4 linked regions of the Caenorhabditis elegans genome follow. The protein of the gene in region 1 interacts with the protein of each later gene in a pairwise test. Each region holds a gene or a part of one and is shown on either strand. Other genes may lie near its edges. The genes, in order: unc-101, R03C1.1, tufm-2 and zip-8.

The links.
Region 2: the proteins of unc-101 (region 1) and R03C1.1 interact in a two-hybrid assay, tested with the Caenorhabditis elegans proteins (3 studies listed by BioGRID).
Region 3: the proteins of unc-101 (region 1) and tufm-2 interact in a two-hybrid assay, tested with the Caenorhabditis elegans proteins (3 studies listed by BioGRID).
Region 4: the proteins of unc-101 (region 1) and zip-8 interact in a two-hybrid assay, tested with the Caenorhabditis elegans proteins (3 studies listed by BioGRID).

What each region holds. Positions count from the first base shown.
Region 1 is NC_003279.8:12,506,381-12,513,957, forward strand, and holds unc-101 (AP-1 complex subunit mu-1-I), read left to right. Parts: upstream 1-1,918; 5' UTR 1,919-2,174; coding exon 2,175-2,216; intron 2,217-2,270; coding exon 2,271-2,427; intron 2,428-3,108; coding exon 3,109-3,307; intron 3,308-3,906; coding exon 3,907-4,178; intron 4,179-4,402; coding exon 4,403-4,532; intron 4,533-5,566; coding exon 5,567-5,936; intron 5,937-6,422; coding exon 6,423-6,521; 3' UTR 6,522-7,040; downstream 7,041-7,577. Other genes in the region: asah-1 (Acid ceramidase subunit beta), read left to right, coding at 1-353, 517-710, 922-1,131; mter-4 (Mitochondrial transcription termination factor family protein), read left to right, coding at 7,139-7,273, 7,450-7,537. UniProt on the Caenorhabditis elegans protein: Component of the adaptor complexes which link clathrin to receptors in coated vesicles. Clathrin-associated protein complexes are believed to interact with the cytoplasmic tails of membrane proteins, leading to their selection and concentration.
Region 2 is NC_003280.10:14,907,008-14,912,229, forward strand, and holds R03C1.1 (Cell wall protein DAN4), read right to left. Parts: upstream 3,399-5,222; 5' UTR 3,395-3,398; coding exon 3,338-3,394; intron 3,124-3,337; coding exon 3,013-3,123; intron 2,677-3,012; coding exon 2,485-2,676; intron 2,417-2,484; coding exon 2,276-2,416; intron 2,226-2,275; coding exon 2,121-2,225; intron 1,622-2,120; coding exon 1,271-1,621; intron 1,128-1,270; coding exon 1,074-1,127; intron 1,030-1,073; coding exon 802-1,029; intron 670-801; coding exon 592-669; 3' UTR 501-591; downstream 1-500. Other genes in the region: cog-1 (Homeobox domain-containing protein), read left to right, coding at 4-132.
Region 3 is NC_003279.8:4,245,920-4,249,937, forward strand, and holds tufm-2 (protein-synthesizing GTPase), read left to right. Parts: upstream 1-1,833; 5' UTR 1,834-1,841; coding exon 1,842-2,058; intron 2,059-2,104; coding exon 2,105-2,647; intron 2,648-2,781; coding exon 2,782-3,341; 3' UTR 3,342-3,496; downstream 3,497-4,018. Other genes in the region: exoc-7 (Exocyst complex component 7), read right to left, coding at 1-103, 785-1,286, 1,336-1,501, 1,548-1,661; cogc-5 (Conserved oligomeric Golgi complex subunit 5), read left to right, coding at 3,580-3,653.
Region 4 is NC_003281.10:6,477,121-6,481,743, forward strand, and holds zip-8 (bZIP transcription factor 8), read left to right. Parts: upstream 1-1,840; 5' UTR 1,841-1,858; coding exon 1,859-1,950; intron 1,951-3,114; coding exon 3,115-3,222; coding exon of another isoform or gene 3,223-3,226; exon of another isoform or gene 3,227-3,445; coding exon 3,446-3,635; intron 3,636-3,685; coding exon 3,686-3,826; 3' UTR 3,827-4,123; downstream 4,124-4,623.

The sequences.
Region 1 (7,577 bases):
GGTCATCGCTCAGGACAAGGACGGCCACGTTTTCCACGCCAGAAACCTCGATTTCGGACTCTTCATGGGATGGGACCCAGTTCTTCACGACTGGCAAATCTCGCAAAAGCTTCGTAAGATGATCATCAACGTCAACTGGCTCAAGGACGGAAAGCTGTTGTACAAGTCGAACAACTTTGCCGGATACATTGGAATCTACAACGGTCTCAAGCCAAACGCCTTCTCCTTGACTGCTGACGATCGATTCCAGCTTGTCGGAGGATACTACGGTATTCTCAAGTGGGTGTTCGGATTGGAGGCCGACGGAAAATGGATGTCCTGGTTGGCAAGAGAGACCCTCGAGACTAAGACCAGTGAGTTGAATTGTTTTCTTGATGACTTAGATCCTTAGAATTCGGAAGCTTTGATTTCCAGGAAGCTTAGGCTTAGATTCAAGTGTCCCTAATCTTTGCTTCTAATATCCATTGGGCTAGATCCGTCTGAGATCCATAAAGGCTCTATATCCCGAGCTTTCAGCCTACCTCGACGCCAAGGAGCACTTGATGAACACTCCAATGCTCTCACCAGTCTACTTCATTCTCGGAGGATCCAAGAAGGACGAGGGATGCATCATCGCTAGAAGTCTCGACAAGACCGCACTTCTCACCGAGATGGCCACATCCCCACACGGATGGTACCTGTTGGAGACCAACTACGATCAGGGAACCGAGGTGAGAGATGCTAGAGTTGAAGGTGTAGAGTAGGTTCTGGTAGACGGATCTAGGGGCCCAACTTTTAGGAGAGGTCCTTCTCTAGGCCTAGGTCTAGTATTTTGAACCCAGCTTCTTTTTTTGAGTGGGTCGAACTCCTAGCTAGAAATTTTGATCAAAAATCTGTCAAAACCTATCCGGAATTAACTTATCCAACATTTCCCTCTTCCAGGACCTCTACCTTGACGACCGTGACACTCCGGGATTCCGTTGCATGGACAAGTTGACCCAGAAGAACGTCGGATTCGAGGGAATCTTCAACGTCTTGTCATCCCGCACCAACCTGAATAAGCTCACCACCTACACCGTCCTCATGTCCGTCGAGACTTCTCGCTTCGAGACCATCCTTCAATCCTGCCCGGGAGAATGCTATCCATGGTAGATTGGATTCAACATTCTCATATACGCAATGATTCATTGAAATAAACTTTCATTTTTGTAAATAAACTTTGATGGGTTCTTGTTTGAAAACGAAATTTTCATAAAATTTAAAAATTTTAGAGTTTTTTGGTTTTTTTTAAACAAAAATTAAAAATTTTAATTTTCCCGCTGGAAAAAAATAATGAGTTACGGTAGATTTAAAGGCGCATGCACCGAAACTTATCGAGGTTACCAAAGTTATTGCTTTTTGTGGAATTTTACATTTAAAAAATAATTGTTTGCTAATTTTATGGTTTTTCGTCGTTTTTTCGTTTCTAACCAAGTTTTCCTCCTGAAATTCAAATTTCGTCACAATTTTATTAAAAATGGGATACGGTAGATTTAAAGGCGCATGCCTAAATATTTCTTCTGAGTCTCGTAGCGATTGGTGGTTTTGTGGAATTTTCTACTAGAAAAATGAATTTAAACTGATTTTCCAGTATTTTTACACAAATTTTTTTTATTTCAATTCAATTTTCAAATTATTCAATTCAATTTTCTGGCGGAAATTGCCAGTTTTTGTCATTATTGTCCAATAAAATAAGGTACGGTAGTTTTAAAGGCGCACACCTAAATTTTGCTCCCTTGGTTTCAGTTTTGAATTTTTAAAATAGAATTTTAACCGATTTTCGTCGATTTTCACTTAATTTTTTGCACTTTTCCGACGAAAAAGTCGATTTTTTGCAAAATTCGGTATTTTTCTCCATTTTTTCGCGAAAAAACCGCTATAAACCAAATTCTCCACCTTTTCCATCCAATTAATCCGTCTCCAAGGCCTCCTGCACCGCTGCTGCCGCTCCGTCACTCGCCGAGAGAGTATATAAAGTGAAGAGACTGCAGACTGCAAGAGGGCGTGCCCGCCAGCAGCCGATATCCATCTTTGCACTCATTTTCTTCGATTTTCCTCCGTTTTCCGCTAATTTTCTCCGGATTTTCAGTATTTTCCAGTAGCTGCCACGTGGAATTTGACGATTTTAACGAGAAAATCGCAAAAAATCGTCGAAAATGGCGACTTCCGCCATGTTTATACTGGATTTGAAGGGAAAAGTGAGTTTTTTAGTGTTTTTCACGTCGGAAAATGCCAATTTTCGCATTTTTCAGACGATAATTTCTCGAAATTATCGCGGAGACATCGACATGACGGCAATCGATAAATTCATTCATTTACTCATGGAAAAAGAGGAAGAAGGCTCGGCAGCGCCCGTTTTGACCTATCAGGACACGAATTTCGTGTTTATCAAGCACACAAATATTTATTGTGGGTTTTTTGTGTGAAAAATTGAATTTAAAATCAAAAATTAGATAGAAAAATGGCAAAATTGAAGAAAATCCGTTGAAAATGACGCAATTGGTCAGAAATTTGAATTTTCAAGCCAAAAACCGATAAAAAGTGCAATTTTTTGTGGTTTTTAACATTTTCAAATTGAAAATAACGTTTTAAAACTAAAAAATGAGTTGAAAAACAGTGAAAAGTAACAAAATCCCTTGAAAATAACGGAAAACCCAAAAAAATTCAATTTTTTGATTTTAAAGTCAGAAAAATTCAAAAATTCCTTGATTTTCTGAATTCCCGAGTGCTAAAATTCAAAAAAAGCCGAATATTCGTAAAAATTGACTAAAATCAATAAAACTGCGATTTTCGTAATTTTTCCATTTTGTAGTTTATTTGAAATGTGGTAAAAATCTTAAAAAAGGAGCAAAATTGTTTCAAAAATCAAGCTTTTCTGCCAGAAAGTCGATAAATTGCGAAAAATTCGTCATTTTTCACACTTTTTCGACATATTTTCACGATTTTTGAGCCAGAATTGTAAATTTCCGGAAATTTTCCCGCCGACAGCGGGTGCAAGCGCGCTCCAATGATAAAACACCCATTTTTAACGGATTTTCAGTCATTTTCTCCAGAATTTCCAGTCAAAAATTCAAATTTCCCTCATTTCAGTGGTCTCAGCATGCCGTTCAAACGTCAACGTCACAATGATTTTGTCATTTTTGTACAAATGCGTCGAAGTTTTCTCCGAATATTTCAAAGATGTCGAAGAGGAGTCGGTTCGCGACAATTTTGTCGTTATCTATGAACTTTTGGACGAAATGATGGATTTCGGGTTCCCACAGACGACTGAGAGTCGAATTCTACAAGAGTAAGGAGGAAAAACGAGAAAAATTGAAAAAAATTACTCAAAAATTCGAATTTCCCGCACGAAAAATCGTTTCATTTTCTGCTGCAAATGCGCTCCAATGCGAAAATAGCCAAATATTAGCGTTGGAGCGCATTTGCAGCGCGCGATAGCAGTAATTTTAAATTTTGGGTCAAAATATGTATTTTCGACCCTAAAATTTTGAATTTCCAATCACAAATGCGCTCTAATGCAAAAATCGCAAAAAATTTACATTGGAGCGCATTTGCAGTGGCGGGGAATTCAAAAATTCAAATTTTCCTGTTCAAAATGTGTCTTTTGTCTCGAAAATTTGAATTTCTATTTGCAAACGCGCTCCACTGCGATTATTTGCACTGTAGCGCGGTTGCAGCTGGGAAATTTGAATTTTCATTGAAAATTTCAATTTTCTCGCATTCAACATGCAGCAAACGCGCTTCAATGCAAAAATCGCAAAAGTTCACATTGGAGCGCAATTTTCCTGTTCAAAATGTGTTTTTCGACTCGAAAATTTGAATTTTTGTGCAAAATTATCATCGATTTTTCCTCAATTTTCAATCAAAAAACCCCCCAATTTTTTGCAGATACATCACACAAGAAGGTCAAAAACTAATTTCGGCACCCCGTCCCCCGATGGCAGTGACAAATGCCGTCTCATGGCGCTCTGAAGGCATAAAATACCGAAAAAACGAGGTTTTCCTGGACGTAATCGAAAGTGTGAACATGTTGGCCAGCGCCAACGGTACCGTACTTCAATCGGAAATTGTTGGAAGCGTTAAAATGCGTGTCTATCTTACCGGAATGCCTGAACTTCGGCTGGGTCTTAACGATAAAGTACTTTTTGAGGGCAGTGGACGTGAGTTTTTTCGAATTTTATGCGAAAATTGAGATTTTTCAGGCAATTTTACCCTAAAATCGATAAAATTTTGTTAAAATTCAACAATTTTAAAGTTTTTAGCGTTTTTCAATTGCGCTCCAATGCGACTTTTTTTAAATTTTTGCAATGGAGCGCGTTTGCAACTTGAAATTCAAACTTCCTACCGCTACAATCGCGCCCCATTGATAATTCTCGATTTTCAGGCGGAAAAAGCAAATCTGTGGAACTGGAAGACGTGAAATTTCATCAATGTGTACGCCTGTCGCGTTTTGACACGGATCGAACGATCTCCTTCATACCGCCCGACGGAGCATTTGAGCTTATGAGCTATCGGTACGAAAAAAGTGGAGAAAATCGGATTTTTAACCGAAAAATCGAGTTTTTCGCATGATTTTGACGGAAATTCAGTGATGTGGCCTAGTTTTTTCGAAAAGTTAGGCCACCGACTTCTAATCTGTGGCCGAAGTTTGATTTTGTCTATTTTTTGGCTTAAATACTCGATTTGAAAGCTGAAAATGCCAGAAAATCCTAGGAAATGCCAATTTACCCACGTGGCCTAGGTTTTTTGGAAGTTAGGCCACCATAGCCTAGTTCGTGGCCGAGTTGTAATTTCGAGTTAATTTCTGCTTTTTTATGCCAAAAACGCTCGAAAAACAATTATAAGGTGTAGAAAATACAAATTTGCTTACGTGGCCTAGGGTTTTCCGGAAAAAACTAGGCCACCAAAGGCCGATTCCTGTTTTTGGGTTCTTTTAGGTCAAAAAACTCGTTATTCAGACGAAGAAGAGCTCAGTAACATGAAAAATTCTAGAAAAATACAAATTTGCATACGTGGCCTAGATTTTACAAGAAAGTTAGGCCACCACTGGCCAATTCATGGCCGAACTCTATTTTTTGGCTAAAAACTCGGCTTCTTTACTACAATAGCTCGATTTTTCTGTAAAAACACGTTAAAACTGTAACAAATGGAACACGTAACATGCAAATTTCCACTCGTGGCCTAGTTTCTCGCAAAAGTTAGGCCACCACTGATCAGTTCGTTGCCGAACTCTATTTTTTGCTGAAAACTGTGTGTCTGGATCAAAATTGTTGGTTTTTCTTAAAAAATAAGTCAAATACACCTGCGGCCTAGGTTTTCGGGTAGAAAATTAGGCCACACCTTAATTTTGAGTCTAAAAAGTTGATCACTAGGCCAAATTTAGCTTGAAAACACTGAAAAATAAAAAAAAAGCAAATTTACATGCGTGGCCTAGGTTTTCAGGTAAAAAGTCAGGCCATGCCTCAATTTTGTGTCGAAAAACTCGATTTTTACCTCAAAAAGCTCCAATTTTTCCTGAAAATTCTCGAAAAATACCGTTTTTTTTCAGATTAACAACCGTGGTGAAGCCGCTGATCTGGATCGAGACAAGCATCGAACGTCACAGTCACAGCCGTGTCTCGTTTATAATCAAAGCGAAATCACAATTCAAACGGCGCTCCACTGCTAATAACGTGGAAATCATTATTCCAGTCCCGTCGGACGCTGATTCACCGAAATTCAAGACAAGCATCGGTTCGGTGAAGTATACGCCCGAGCAATCGGCCTTCGTATGGACTATTAAGAATTTTCCCGGCGGAAAAGAGTACCTTTTGACCGCCCATCTATCTCTACCGTCTGTGATGAGTGAAGAGTCTGAAGGACGGCCGCCGATTAAAGTCAAATTTGAAATTCCGTATTTTACGACCAGCGGCATTCAGGTAGCCGAATTTTTCGCTTAAAATTCGACTTTTTAGCTCAAAAATTCAAATTTCCCACCGCCAAAAACTGCCCAATTTTGAGATTTATGTAATTTTTTCGCTCTAAAATGCTGAAAATTTCATTTAAACACATGATATTATTTAAAAATCCGACTTTTCAACTAGATTATTTGAATTTCCCGCCGACCGCATGTTGCAAGCGCGCTCCACGGATAAAACTGCTCAAAATGCAGATTTTTGTGATTTTTTTGCGTCAAGATGATGCAAATTTCTCGAAAAAACCTAACATTTGACTTTTTAACTCAAAAATTCAAATTTCCCGCCTACCACATATTGCAAGTGCGCTCCACGGAGAAAACGGCTCAAAATTGAGAATTATGTGATTTTTTGGTGTTTAAGGGTGATAAAATCTTCTAAAAAAAAGGCTTGAAAATTCAATTTTTCCCATAAATTCCACCAAGTAAACCCTAATTTTCAAATTTTCAGGTCCGTTATCTGAAAATCATCGAGAAAAGTGGATATCAAGCATTGCCGTGGGTCCGCTACATTACTCAAAATGGAGAATACGAGATGCGGATGAAATAATTCCTGAAAAAATTACCTAAATTCATATTTTATTGTATTTTATTCCCAATTTTACTCTTAATTTTTGGAATTTTTTATGAAAAATTGGTGAAAAACGACCGTGGCCGAGTTTTTGGAAAATTTGGAGGTCTAGGCCACCATGCTTCCAGTGGTGGCCTAACTTTTCGAAAATCCTAGGCCACGGCCCCGTTTTCCATCAATTTTTGCCTCTTTTAATGTCAAACATCTCCAATTTTTTCTGTGAAAATTTAATGCTCCGCGAGCTGCTCCCCGGCTCAAAACATGTGTTGTGTGTGCTCTTTCCCCTGATGACCCCGAACTCTATTTTTTTTTGTTCGAAAATTTTTATTTTATTTTTCCCACCGATTTATTTATTGATTTTTATCGCATAATTTAGATTTTTTCCAGAAAAACGAGTTTTTTCCCTTTCCCACCAGCATAATTTTCTCACCACATGGATCCTCATCAATTTTTCCCGTTTTCCTTTTTTCAGTAAATCAATAAATTTTCTGTCATAATTGTTTACAAAATGTTTTCCGGGGGCTAAAAATTCCATTTCAAAAATTGTCTAAATTTCCAGAAAAATCACTGAAAAAAATGCAAAAAATTGCCAGAAAATGCGCCGATTGTTGCCGATTTTTCGTCGAAATTTGCGAATTTCTGCATTTTCGCGTCAATGCACCACATCTGACGACACTTTGCGGACTTTTGCGCCAAATGCGTTGATGGATCGAATTGTGGACGATTTGAAGGTTCGGCAAAGCGGGAATTTGAAAATTTTGAAGATTTAGCATTGGGGCACACTTGCATCACGCTTTTATGGCGCGAAATTTGAATTTTTGCCCTAATTTTGGACTTTTTTTTGCATTGGAGCGCATTTGCATTAGCGGGAAATTCAAATTTCCAACTCTAATTCAATTTTTTCCAGAAAACTGGCACACATTTTGTGATTCCCGGTCGAGATTCCTTTGCCAGACAGGAATCGGCAAAAGTTTTCGAAAAACTTTTGGAAAATGGTAGGTTTTGCTAATTTTTTTTAGTGAAAAATTTGAAAAA
Region 2 (5,222 bases), on another chromosome or scaffold:
CAGGTGTGGTTCCAAAACCGTCGTACAAAATGGCGCAAGAAGGAAGCGGCCGACAATGCACTGGTCAAACGTGGTGCCAGCGGCGACAAGTCTCCTTGCTCACTGAGCCCATTTCTCAGCGCTGGAATTTAGCTTTTAAGCGTTCTACCTCTCCCCCTCCCTTCAACCGAGTGTATTATTCCCCCAATTTGTTTGCAATTTTTTCCTGAAGCCCTTTAAGAAAATCCAAAATCATGACCTTCTTCCGTCTTTACACCTGATTACCTGAATACCAACACCCCACACAGATGCCATGATCTCTCGTCTTTTCTCGTACTTTTGTATAATTTTTTTCTTAATTTTTTTGCATGTTTTCCCATAGTTATAGCCATTTTTTTTTCTTTTTTTTTCCAAATCATCGTCACTTATACAAAAACCAAACTCCCTTTTACCGTTAAACCATGCCCAAATACAAAAAATTTCCCATTTAATTGTACGTTTTTTTCTCTTCAAATTGGATTCTAATGACATAAATTTATTAGATTAAGTAATCGTTGAGGCATATTTACAGATACCAAATATTGTGGGGAACACGAAAAATTAATTAATTATCTATTCGAGTTTCGTTTTGATCGTCTGGAGAACGTTCATGAGCACGTCGAGGGTCGATGGTTGGGTTTCTTCGGCTTTCTGGAAAATTGAAAATGTTTGAAATTTATAAAATTGGCCTAGAAAATGCCTATGTGGCCTAGAAATCCCTTGTGGCACCATGGTCTAGAAACTACGTCAGTGCCTAGATCCCCTAGGAACTCCCCCACCTACCTTGTAACTTCTGAATTTGGACTTCAAGCAGCACACATTCTGAGCACACTGGTCGTATTGTGGAAGGCACGAGCAGGCGGTGGTAGGCACGTTCACGTACATCACACATGTGGTTGTCAGCGGGTATTGGGTGGCCGCGGTGTCGGCATATTGAACCGGGCTTGAGGAAGTTGGCATGGTTGGGGCCTGGGTGGTTGGAGCCTGGGTAGTTGGGACTTGAGTGGTTGGCTGAAAATTGTAAGGGTAAATTCGAAAAATTGAAGGGTTATTACCATTGGTGTCGGGGTGGTCTGAACTGGAGCGTACTCGTAGGTGTCGTATTGAACCTGAAAATGGTCAATTTGCAAAATAGTCGGTGGCGCCGAGCAGCCGACAAATTGCGGGTTCCACCAAACCCCGTGAATTGTCGGCTGCTTGCTTTGAAATGAAAATTCAAGTTTCCATGCTATCATGCCCTCATGCTCTCTACCTGTTGCTGTTGTTGTCCTGGCTGTGGGCACCCACAGTACGCATTTGGTACAGTAACCATCAACGTGGCACAGTTACACCTGCATCCACACCCGGACATGACACTGGTGGTCGGATCAAGACAATAGCACGTCTCTTGTCCGGTGGCCAACTGTCCGATGGCCGGGTATACGGTAGGTGGCTGCGCGGTGTACATGGACGGGTTCAGGAGTTGGGGCGCTTGCGTCAGTGGTGCTGGAGTTGTAGTTGTTGAGGTGGTTGTGGTGGTTGTGGAGGATGGTGCTGGCAGAGTTCCGGGGATCGCTGTCTGGGCACCGTACTCGATGGTTGGGTCCTCGTAGTCGATGGTGTGCTGTGTGGAAGTTTTAGACATGCAAGTTGTGTGGGCACACATGCGGTTTTTATTGGTGGCCTAACTTTTGGTGGCCTTGTTTTCTTAAGAACTTGGTCTTATTTTTGGAAGCCTTTGCTTCTACACTGGCTGGCCTAGTTTTTCTAAAATGATACCCTAACTTTGCTGAACTAGTTTTCCAAAAATTGTGGCCTAACTTTTAGTAACCTAGCTTTCTTGAGATGGTCTAACTTTTGGTGGCCTAGATTCTCTAAGATGCCAAACTATCAGTTGTGAAGAGCAACCAATAGACAAAAGGCTCGGCTGCTTGTACATAACTCTCTAATTTTGATAGATACAAAAAAGTTGCCAACTGGCAAAATACAGCTCATTTTATTTATTTGCTAGCTCTCATGGCTGCAGAGTTATCACGTTTTTAATCTGTGAACAGAAAAATTTCATGCGAAGAAAGTTCATGCACTTTTCAAATAATTTCAAATTTCCAATTCAAAAAATTTACCTGTTGCTGCTGTTGCTGCTGTGGTTGAGCACACTGGCACTGATACTGAGCAGTTTGTGGGCTGGTGATACTGATCATAATGCAGTTGCAAGCCCCATTACTTCCCTAAACGATTCTAAATTCTAATACATCTGGGGGGTGCTGCTGGGATATACCTGTGTCTGAGTTGGCACTTGCGGGTAGGAGACTGGCGATTGTGTAGTTGTAGTGGAAGTTGTGGTTGGGGCTTGGGTGGTTGTGGTGGTAGTGGTGGTGGTGGAGCTTGTGGTTGGAGCCATTGTGGTGGTGGTTGGGAGCTTAGATTTCAGAGTTTTAGATATTCAAAAAATGATTAGAATCCCCCTACACCATCCCAAAAACTAACCGGGTTTCCACTCTGATCTCCGCACTGGCAGTTGTATTGTGGGGCTCCTTGGATGACAATCTGGATGCATCCACAACGGGCTCCGCTCATTCCGGTAGTTTGTTGGGACATTGCGGTGAGCTGATTTGCAATGTCAGCCGACTGGGGAGCATCATATTGGACACCGGATCCGATGGAAGAAGAGGAGCCATCCTAGAAATGATAACTTGTTAGTAAATGTTATCTCGAATCTACAGTGGTGCTACAGTAATCTTTCTAATAGTTCACCTAGTTCTCACATTAGCTAAAGTAGTCTTAAAAACTAGGATGATAAATTCTTTAAATGTTATGGCGCTTCATCAGTAGTGCACACTACCGTTGGAGGTCGACAGGATGCTAGAAAATCGGCTTAACCATACTACAGTAGTCCTAGAAAAAACTTCATCGACAGTACCGTTGCATGTATGAATTAGTAGTACTATATCGATATTAAAATAATTATACTATAGTTAAAAGTAGCACAATAGTCTCTAAAAAACCAAAACTTACAGCTGGTCCCTTTGCACAACTGCACGTGAGTCCACCATTAGGATTCTTGACGCACCGGCATTGCTGACGCTTCGAGCGGACGATGATTGGCTCGTCTGGAGCAGCAAATGTCTGAAAGATTCTTGTTAGTTCAACTCCTCAAACTTTGCGCCATTCAAAAACTATATAGCCATTTTCCGTGAATGCCAATTAGAACAAGAGACCTATTGTGCCCAACTAGTCTGACTCATTTTGCGCAAAGTGCCCAAGTTGAGTCAATAGAGTAGGAACTATTCAATTCACAAGTTGGAAAATAAGCGGGGGGAATCAAGTTTTAGACACTCACCTCGACCAGAAGGGCTCCGATGCACACAAGAATCAACAGGGACGACAGACGGGACATGGTTCTGGAAATTAAATTATTGTGGGGGGTGGAGTAGGGGAATGTATAAAAAACATTGAAAGGACCGGGATTCCCCGGTCCGGGAAGACCGTGTCTTGGAATTCAGTTTGAGCAGGTAATAATGTGTAAGTAGCATAGAATTAGTGAGTTATTGCATTATTGTTGGTCTCAGCAATCTGGAGGACCCTAGTGAATTTTGGAATATTATGTGCTAATTGCAGTATAACATTTATTCAAACCCACAGTCAAACTGTAACACTAAAATGAAACTTATATGCTACTCTTAAGGTATGATATTAGTTTAATAAGTACTATGTATCATTTTAAAATAGCTATTTATAAATATTTACACCTTTGGTAGGTTAAACTGAAAGCTACTGCCAAAATTTTTATAACATGTTATTAATTTAAGGTATGTTCGTTTGATAGTGTTACATATATCTAACAGCAATAAATTTGAAACTACAATTGTTATATGTTACAAACTCTTTTTGATGTATAAAACGTTAGTTGTCAAAACCATATAGTTATAAAAATATAGGTATAGTATATTCTAAAAGTATATATTAATTGGAAGTAGAAGTATGTAGTAATTATTTTTACTACATAAAGTAATTCTTTGAACCTAGTGCTACAAACTTAAAATATGAGTTTATTTTTGAAACTATGTAAGTATTTGAAAATCTAAAAAAATTGTAGTTAGACACTTTCCGGTAACCGATGAATGAAAAGAGAGTGTGAATGATGAGTGATTCCATGAATCTGGATCCATTTTATAGCCACCCCCTGAATCCCAAAAGGCGTGTCCAGGGATGGATGGCAACTTTTTGCGCGCGCTCGCTCGCTACTTCCCACGTGTGGAGCATTTTGCCGCCTCCAATTGTATTGTATTCATCTTTTCTCTTCATTCAACTGTAAACAAGCCGCCGAGCAGCGCGCGGTAAGCGTTTTTCATTCCGCATCGTTTTCTGTATCGAATTACTATGGTGCCAACAACCTAATACTGGTGGCTCCGCCTTTTTGCCAACAAGCTTTTGTATTGTATAGAGCAGTCATATTTGAATGAGGATGCATGCATAGGGGGAAGAAAAAGTTCGAGGGAAAAGTGAGTTTTGTGCTTGGGCACAGGGATCTTCTGTGAGGTCATCAAGTCTAGACATGATATCTTCATGTCAAAGTTGATGGGGATCTAGGATCTAGTTGTTAATTCAATATTTGAAGTTTTGAATTACAGGTTCAATAAGTAACTTAGAAATCAAAATGTTGAGGTTAACTAGTTTCTATATAGCAAACATTTTTTGAACACTGTAGGAATACTACTGGTATATTTAAGATACCTCACAGGCGTCTGTTATGACAAAAATGTTTATAAAATAACTTCAACTCAGTAATTAGAGAGCATGCCAACGAGGAACCCATGAAACTTTGACTCCAGATAAGACATAATAGGGGTGAGCGGCAATTGCAGTTCGGCAAATTTCGCCAAATCGAAAAATTGCCGGTTTGCCGATTTGCTGGAAATCTTCAATTCCGGCAATTTGCCGTTTGCCGGATATTGAGAGGGATTTTTTAGAGACGGAAACTCTTCAAAACTTCCAAAAAAATGTGCAAAATCCTTTTTGCCGAAAATTTCCGGTGAATTCGGCAAATCGCCATTTTGCCGGTTTGCCGATTTGCCGGAAATTTTCAATTCCGATAATTTGCCGATTTGCCGATCTGCCGGAAATTTCAATTCTGGCAATTTGCCGATCTGCCGGACTGATATCTTTGTACCCAACGCTGATCCTGAAAAAAACTAAAACGACGGTGGTCTGGATATTTTTAATTT
Region 3 (4,018 bases), 8.3 Mb from region 1:
CAGTAGACTAAGAAGTGCAGAGCACATGGCATGACACGCATCCAAATCAATTAGGACATCTACTTTTTCGGATCGCTGGACGGGCTTGCGGACTGCTGTGGATCTAAAAAAAATGTTTTTTTGAATTTTTGAGAAATTGAAAATATTTGGTTTTCGATTTATCGAGAAATAGCTGGAATTTTTGTTAATTTTCTAATAACTTTTATTTCGATTTTTCAGTTTTTCAGACCAGGGCTGAGACATTGTTTTTGAATTTTTAAGAAAAATTTATTTTTTTTTTGGTTATTAAGACTAAAAATTCAAAAAAAAATTTCATTCTTTCTTGGTTTTTTTTTTAACAGGCATCAATTTTTTTTGGCTTTTTTTTTTGGTTTTTCGCAAATTTCAATTTTTTTATTTTGGTCAAAAACACTTTTTTTTCCAACAGCCGTGTTCTTTATCGAGATGTGAAAATTTGCGTCAAAAATACCGGCCTCAACACGACAAATTGTGAAAAATTATGCGCCTTGGAGGATTACTGTAATTTCAAACTCTAGTTCCGAAAATGTTCATCGATTTTGTTATCGTTTGTATCAGTCCGATCTGTCGAAATTTAAGTTTTTTAATTTTTTAAAAGCTTTTCTGAAGCTTTTTTCAATTAAAAAAGTACTTTTTTTTAATCGAAAACTATGAAAGTTTGAAATTACATTCATTTTTAAAGGTACACATCTTTTTTGTTTTTTATCAGAAATGTGTCGAGACCGGGTACTGTATGACTGGCGCACACAAAAACACTCAATCTTACAATTTACTTCTGGAAGCAAGTTGCGATGATTTCTGTGCTTCTGCGATGCTCTTGATATTCTTCAAAATTTGTGCTCCACGAATTTCAGAGTAATAACCCAGAAAATTATTAGGAACACGTGGCTGCTTCAGGAGCCAAACTCCAATTTTGATTATCGGTTCTTCATCGGTCATAATTTTGATTTCACTCAATCTGGGTGTCAATTCATTTTTTACAAAAGGTGCCGGATCCACGGTAATACTATTCTTCAGAAGAAAATTCTTGTAAGCTTTTTCAAGCATTGTATATCCAGTGTCCAGTGTGATTCTCATATTATCCGTTTGACTTCGATAATTTGGATGGGTTTCGAAAAATATGATTGCTTGCTGCAGACTTTCCATATTTTCGAGATAAGGGTCGAGATCGACGGACGGATTTCCACTATTTATTGCATTCTCAACAGTGCTAGTTTTTCCGTAAAATTGAAGAGTAGCGTCAATTGTATTGATGAGACGTTGGATATCTGGAAAATATCTTCTTTTTTTTAAAAGAAAACTGCCAAATTGACATACTATGCTGTTTCTTTTGCAATTTCCCGTTCGAAATATGCATCGGGAGCACATTCTTTTCAAGAGAGCTCAATCTCTGATCAAACTTTTCAACAACTTGTTCGATTCCTTGTCGTATCTGCGCGCTTTTCGCGATGTTCTTTTGAAAATTCTGTAGCCATTCTTCCTCCTGAAATGATTTAAATGATCAATCTTCTTTTTCAGCAAAAACAAACCTGAGCTAGTTTTTTGGCTATCGATTCGGCAGCATTTTGATCACTTGCCATTGGAAATATTCGAGAATTGACAGAGAAAAATGGAAAACAATAAAAATAATAAACAACCAACATGTGACCTAGTTACTTCCTAGGCCACGCGGCCGCGTACTCCTCGAGGACAAAATGAGTTGCCACGCAATTTTTGGAATTTTTTAAATTAAATTCAGGTTCCAGGTTTCTATGGTTTCAAAGTTACTAAAATTGTTATAACCGATTTTATTATAACATGAATTTCTCGGTGTTATAGGTAAAATGAACCCCGCTGCTTTGTCGGCATTCACACGATCTCTACTATTCAATCGATGCTCAACATCTTCATTTTGTAATTCAATCACACGAAATGCCGTCGCTTTCTTTGCCACTGCAGCTGCTACGCCAAAAATCAATGTAAATGTGGGAACTATTGGACACATCGATCACGGGAAAACAACTCTAACATCAGCAATCACAAGAGTTCAGGCTAAAAAAGGTTTAATTAATTTTTATATTATTCACAAATGAATTCAATTCTGCAGGTTTTGCGAAGCATATTAAATTTGACGAAATCGATAAGGGAAAAGAAGAAAAGAAACGTGGAATTACAATCAATGTCGCTCATATCGGCTATGAAAGTCCTCTGCGTCGATATTCCCACACTGATTGCCCCGGTCACTCGGATTTCATCAAAAATATGATTTGCGGAACTTCACAAATGGACGTGGCTGTTCTTGTGATTGCTGCAACCGACGGAGTCATGGAGCAAACCAAAGAACATTTGATTCTAGCCAAGCAAGTTGGTGTTAAAAATATGGCGATTTTCATCAATAAAGCGGATTTGGTTGAAGAAGATGATCTGGATTTGGTAGAAATGGAAGCACGGGAATTGTTGAGTCTGCATGGCTTTAATGGAGATGCGACTCCAGTTATTCGAGGTTCCGCTTTAAGTGCTCTAGAAGGACAAGATATTTCGTGTATCGAGAGATTGATTGATGCATTGGATTCACTTCCAGAGCCGGATAGAAATGAAAAGGATACTTTTGTAATGCCAATTGCATCGAAAACTGCTATCACTGGGCGAGGTAATTGAAAAAAGAAATATAAGGTGTGCCAATCAAGAATTTATTTTGCAAGAAAAAGTGCAAGAAATTTCAATAAATGACATTTTTTGCCACCCCTAATATTTAAAAAAAAACCAATTTAAAATGTTTTTCAGGAACAGTCATCGTCGGTACACTGGAAAGAGGTGTCTTGAAAAAAGGCGATAAAGTTGAAATCAAAGGAGACGGGCAAACTCTTCAAACGACTGCTTCGGATATCCAAGTTTTTGGCAAAAGTGTGAAGGAAGTTCGTGCTGGAGATCATTGTGGAGTTCTGTGTAGAGGAGTTAAAGGGGATACAGTGAAGAGAGGAATGTGGGCAGGACATCCAGGAGCAGTAACAATTACGAATCGAGTGAAAGTGGAACTTTATCTTCTCTCGGAGGCTGAAAATGGCAGGAAGATCGGAATTCGGACTGGTTTCACAGACAAAATGTACTGCAGTACTTGGGATCAAGTTGGTCGTTTCGATATGAGCAATGAGCTTCTGATGCCAGGAGAACATACTTCTGCTACAGTACTCTTGATGAAAGACATGCCACTCAGAAAAGGAATGCCGTTTACATTGAGAGAAGGAAGCAGTAAAACAACGATCGCTAGAGGAATCATCTCAGATCTAGAGGATCATGTGGCTGTAGAGAAACATAATCTTAAAAAGTCCGCTGAAAAGATGTAGTTCTTTATATATTACAGTATTGATTTATTTTAGGTTAGATTTTATTAGCTTGTTAACTACTATATCTTGTTTTGTTTTTGTTTTCTTTTGTCGAAATCTTCGAATAATATTTCACTACTTTTATTGTTCAAATAATACCATTCTCCTATTAATAGCAGTTTTACCTGATCTGCTCATTAATATCTTTATTTTTAATTTTCGTATTAAATAATAATTTATTTTTTAATTCCAGTTTAAAATGTCGGGGAGAGTCGACGAACAGCTCGACGACTTCCTCTGGGGAAAAACTGATGTTAAGGATTACTTGAAAAAGTAAGTCGCCAAATTTTGTGGATTTGGGTCTCGACACGACAATTTTTGTTTAATGAAAAATGGTACGCGCCTTTAAAGAGTACTGTAGCGTCGATTCTTCATAGTTTTTTGCAAAAAGTATATTCATTTATTTATTTTTTAAAAACTAAAATAGAACAACATAAACTTTAACAAATCGTAAGAAAAACTATGAAAAATCGATAAAAACTTCGCAGCATCGAAAGTTTTAAATTACAGTATTCTTTAAAGGCGCACACTTTGTCGAAAGATGGAGTACCGCCAGTAGAGAAATTTTTAAAAAACATAACTGTAGTGTTACATTATATTAATAAAAAATCAAATCAAAAATGTTTGCAAAAGTTGTT
Region 4 (4,623 bases), on another chromosome or scaffold:
AAATGTTGAGCACTTTCTCGAGCTTTCAATCAAACTGAAATTGTTTTTTTTTCAATTTAATATGTTTCTATATTTTGAAACTAAATGCTAATAAAGTTAATCAAATATTACAGGAACACTCAATCCACGAAAAAACTTCCGCAATTTTCAACATACTTGATATTTCACCTTATTCTATGTTTATCCATGCAACACCTATTGCATTGTTATTTTCCTTATAACAAATTGATACGCACTGCGCAACATGACCAGATTAGTCGAGGTTATAGTATCACGCAATACTTACCAATTTTATTTGTTGGCTTTCACGGAATATGGGGGAAATGTGGGAAAGGCTGGTGAATTGATAGATGGATAATAACGGATATATAAGAAAATTACATAGTGGCAAAAAGTAAGCGACATTTGGCGTTGTCAAATCAAAACTCGAAAGACAAGAAAACATTTCTGAAACGCCAAATATAGAGTAGTGAATACAATTCAATACTTTACCTTCAAAATGATAAAATTCAGACAACAGTCAAAGTTTCCAAGTAAAAAACACACAGTCAATCCAAAAACAGAAAGGAGGAGAAACATTTGTCGTCTACAAATACAGACTGTCTACCAAAAGTAGACATCGATGGTTATAGAACAACCTTCCCAAAAATTAAGGTTTGTGCACTCACAATTATATTGATTGGGCAGGATGGGGAATCGAACCTGAATTGAACTACAGGTGTTTTTTGACATTTTAGGAAGGTGAGACGAAAAAGGTGACCACATGGAATTAAACTGTCAGAAGAACAAATTGTGTTTGTTCATTGTAAGTTAACAGATGAAGAGCTTTGAAAACTGCATAAAAATGTGAGCTTTGAAACATTTGAAATTAAAATTAGAAAACGTTATGATAAATGTATTTTAAAAAGGAGAGAAGAATTGATCAAAGATTCCCTGCAAACTCGAATTTAATTTATTGGAACTCAAAATGTTACTCAATGAATACTAAAGACTCTTATTGTAATCAATTCTTATATTCGTAAAACTTATTCTGTAATATTTGTACAAAAACTAATATTTAAAAGTTTTTACACAAAATAGATATTTAAAAGTTGAAAAAAAAATCAGAAAAGATGGATTAATATCTAGCAACTATTTTTAAAGTCATGGTTCATCTTCTTAAAATCTGAAAATTTCAGACTACTTTCCAGGGAATTTTGTTCGCGCCACTCATTTTACCAAAATGTTTCCTTTGGGAATACTAATCTATAAAACATTTCTCACTTAAACTGTCATTAACTAGATTTCCAAAGAAACATTGGTAATTGACAGACTTGGAAAAACATTACGCAATCGATATGCAACGTTTTCCACGTAATTCTATGACTGTTTTTAATATCTAAAACACCATTAATCCCACTAAGTTTAGATGATATTTGTACAAAAGTTGACGCAAATCTATCTGAGAACTTCCAACCCTTTCAGTCTCTTTTCCCTCACTTCTCTCTATGCAAGAAACATCAACGGTCCATTGTTTTCCGTGTAGTAGGTCATATGTTCTCCTGCTCTCCCGTTCCAGATAGACCCGATAGATACTGTGAGAGTTCCCAGCGGGTGTTCTCTGCGCTCTCCAGAACTCCTATGCACTCTCCCAAAACTTCTCGGGTGGGCGGAGTCGAGGCCACCCCGCCAGCACCCGACGTTGCATCACACCTGACTCTTTTCTAGATCGGCGACGGTCGGTTACGTAACCAGCTCTCTGGGAAGTGTTTTCACCTTTTCCTTGTTTTTCTTTTTCGTTGCATGGCTTTCTGAATTTCTTTTGGGAAGAAGATAGTACTCAAACTTTCTATAATTTCAGCTAACAACGTCCAACAATATGAGCAACACCATGCAAGGAGCACACTACCCGCAAATGGCATTCGATCCAACATGGCAAATGCATCCAGCGTACGCAACTGCAACTGCTTTGTGAGTCTAAATATGTATATATTTAGAATTTTTGAGATTATTGTAGTTGTTTTCGGTTTTTTAAATTTTGTGTCAAGTATTTTCTTCTGCAAAACAAAAGACAGTAGAGACCATCTCGCACTGCCACATCGTCCGTTGTCCCCGTCATGTGCTCATGGCGAGATGGCCTAGATTACAGCCGTTCTGGATTGGTCGGTTTGGCTATAGAGGTCAACATGTTGTAAAACGTTTGGAAAATGTTCAAAGTTTGGCCATTCAAAATATACGGAAAATGTGAACAATATACTACTCACATTATAGCTAGTGTAAAAACTTTTGTAGCATAGTTTTTTCTACAGTCTTTCGTTTCAGTTATCAAAATTCAGTACATGACTCTACAATTTTCTACTATACCTTTTTTTTTCTGTAATTTGAAAAACACTCTAGCTGCAAGAGCTCAAAATTGGAATAGATGCCGTTACATCACCAAATTACTATAGAGGATCTTAGCCAGTAGATAGAGTAAAAGACGCACATTCGACTGAGCTATTAAATTGCCACGTGGCAAGGGGCAACTGCCACGACAGACTGTCTTCAAGGTGTTCCATGAGCCGACACAGACAGATGGTCAATATGCGCTAAATATGACATTTTTGCACATAATTATAGGTATTGGGGTAGGCAACCGGTTGTGGAGTGCCTGATATCTGATGCTAGATTTTAAATTTAGATTTCAGTATGATCTTCCCTCTAATAATAGAAACTATCTTTGTTTATACGTGTGCAACCACGATAGTTTAGGTGAAGATGCCACAGGGTTTTTGAATAGTTTAATTTGCAAGCAAAGTGTTGATAAACAATTTAATATTTATTTTACACTGCGAAATTGGTTGGTGGTATCATCCAAAAATGATGTTTTTTCGATACAAATCATATTGTGATTTTAAAAAATGTGGAAGATTTCTGAATTGTTTAGAAATGCTTTCCTTAATGGTAATCAGAACGTCAGATTTAAAACAATTCAGAAATCTTCCTTTTTTTAACTCAGGAAATTGATATGTATTGACAAAAAACCACCCTGATACCAGAACCACCATAAATATCCCCAGATAACCGATAGTGCTCCTCTTTTGTAGAAATTTGTAAAATATTTTGTAGAATAAATGTGGAAATTTCAATTTTCAGTAATCCATACAATGTATCATTCGACTTCACACGCTCTCCAAATACCTCCGGCGGATCCGATGAATCAATGAGTGATGGCAGCAAGATCGACCCAAAACGATCTCCAAAGTAAGTTTTACCTCGGAATTCAGATGGGGAGGGTGCCTTGAAGAAAGGTTACTCATAGGAACATTGGGATGAGAATGGGAGGATGGGGGAGGGGGTGTTACATTATTTTCAGATTCTTCAACAACAACATTGCAAAGACACGTGCCAATCGACTCTCCAGACGATCCACGATCCGCCAAGGATTACTTTTAGAGTTTCAAAAAACTTGATATTTTTTCTTCAGATATCTTGAAAAGCGTATGAAGAATAATGAGGCTGCAAAGAAGTCACGAGCCTCCAGAAAACATCGAGAGCAGAAGAATCAGACAGAGAATGAGTTACTCAAAAGGAAAAACGCAGCATTAGAGGAAGAACTGAAGCAAGCAAAATGTGAATTGGCTCAGATGCAAATCACGATCCGAGATATGTCTATCGTAAGAGAAATAAAGCTCACTATGCACCTCAAAAGCTAATAATTTTTCAGGAACGAGAAGCATACCGCCGAGAGAACGAAATGCTGAAAATGGTGAACAACAAATTTGCGGACTCAAAATTCGAACCTCCGCAACCACTTCGTGATATGACCAACTGCAACCTGCCATACAAATACGAACTTCTCTCTTAAATTTATTTCATTCCCTCTATTGAGAAATTTCATGTATATTTTTGTGTCCCAATTCCCAGTTAAGTAGGTATCGGTTTTATGGTCTTCTGAGAGTTGTGGCTATTCTTATTTTTGTTTTTTGAAATTCTTGACATATAAATCTAGGATAACACCAGGAAAATGATGAGAAGGTCTCAATGGAGAACACCTTCTGATTCCTGAATGGGGATTTTTAGATAAGTTTACATAATAATAAGGAATATTCTTAACCTTACTGTCTAATACTGCATGTCTAATAAATTGCATATAAGTACAAAAGTCTACAGTTGTTTTGATTTTATTACAAGTGGGCATGTGGAAAGAGTGAGGGCCTCGAGGACATGGGAATGTTTTGGTAACCTTGATTTCACTGGAACAATTAAAAGGGGAAAGTTAAGGCTGCTAATTCACGCCCTGGTACCATGGTTCAGACAAAAATTTAAAATGTTTAAATCATATCTGCAGATTTTTCTCAAAATTATAAAACCCGATACTCAAACTGTTCTATTGATGATATTAGAGGTTACAATCGAAAATTTAGGATACGTTTAGCTATTTCTCAAAACTCTGAACCGCCAGAAATAGAAAAAAGCTTTTTCTAAAGCGTTCATGAAAAACCTTTTATCGTACTTCCACATTTCTTCAAATATTCACTAAACTTTTTCAGGTAAAATTTTATTTAAAATTGGCCAGTGCCTGAAAAAAGGAAGTTTTGACAATCTTCTGGGTAGTCACAACATTGCAAAAAACATTTGTCCGACATTTGTTTAATCTGAAAA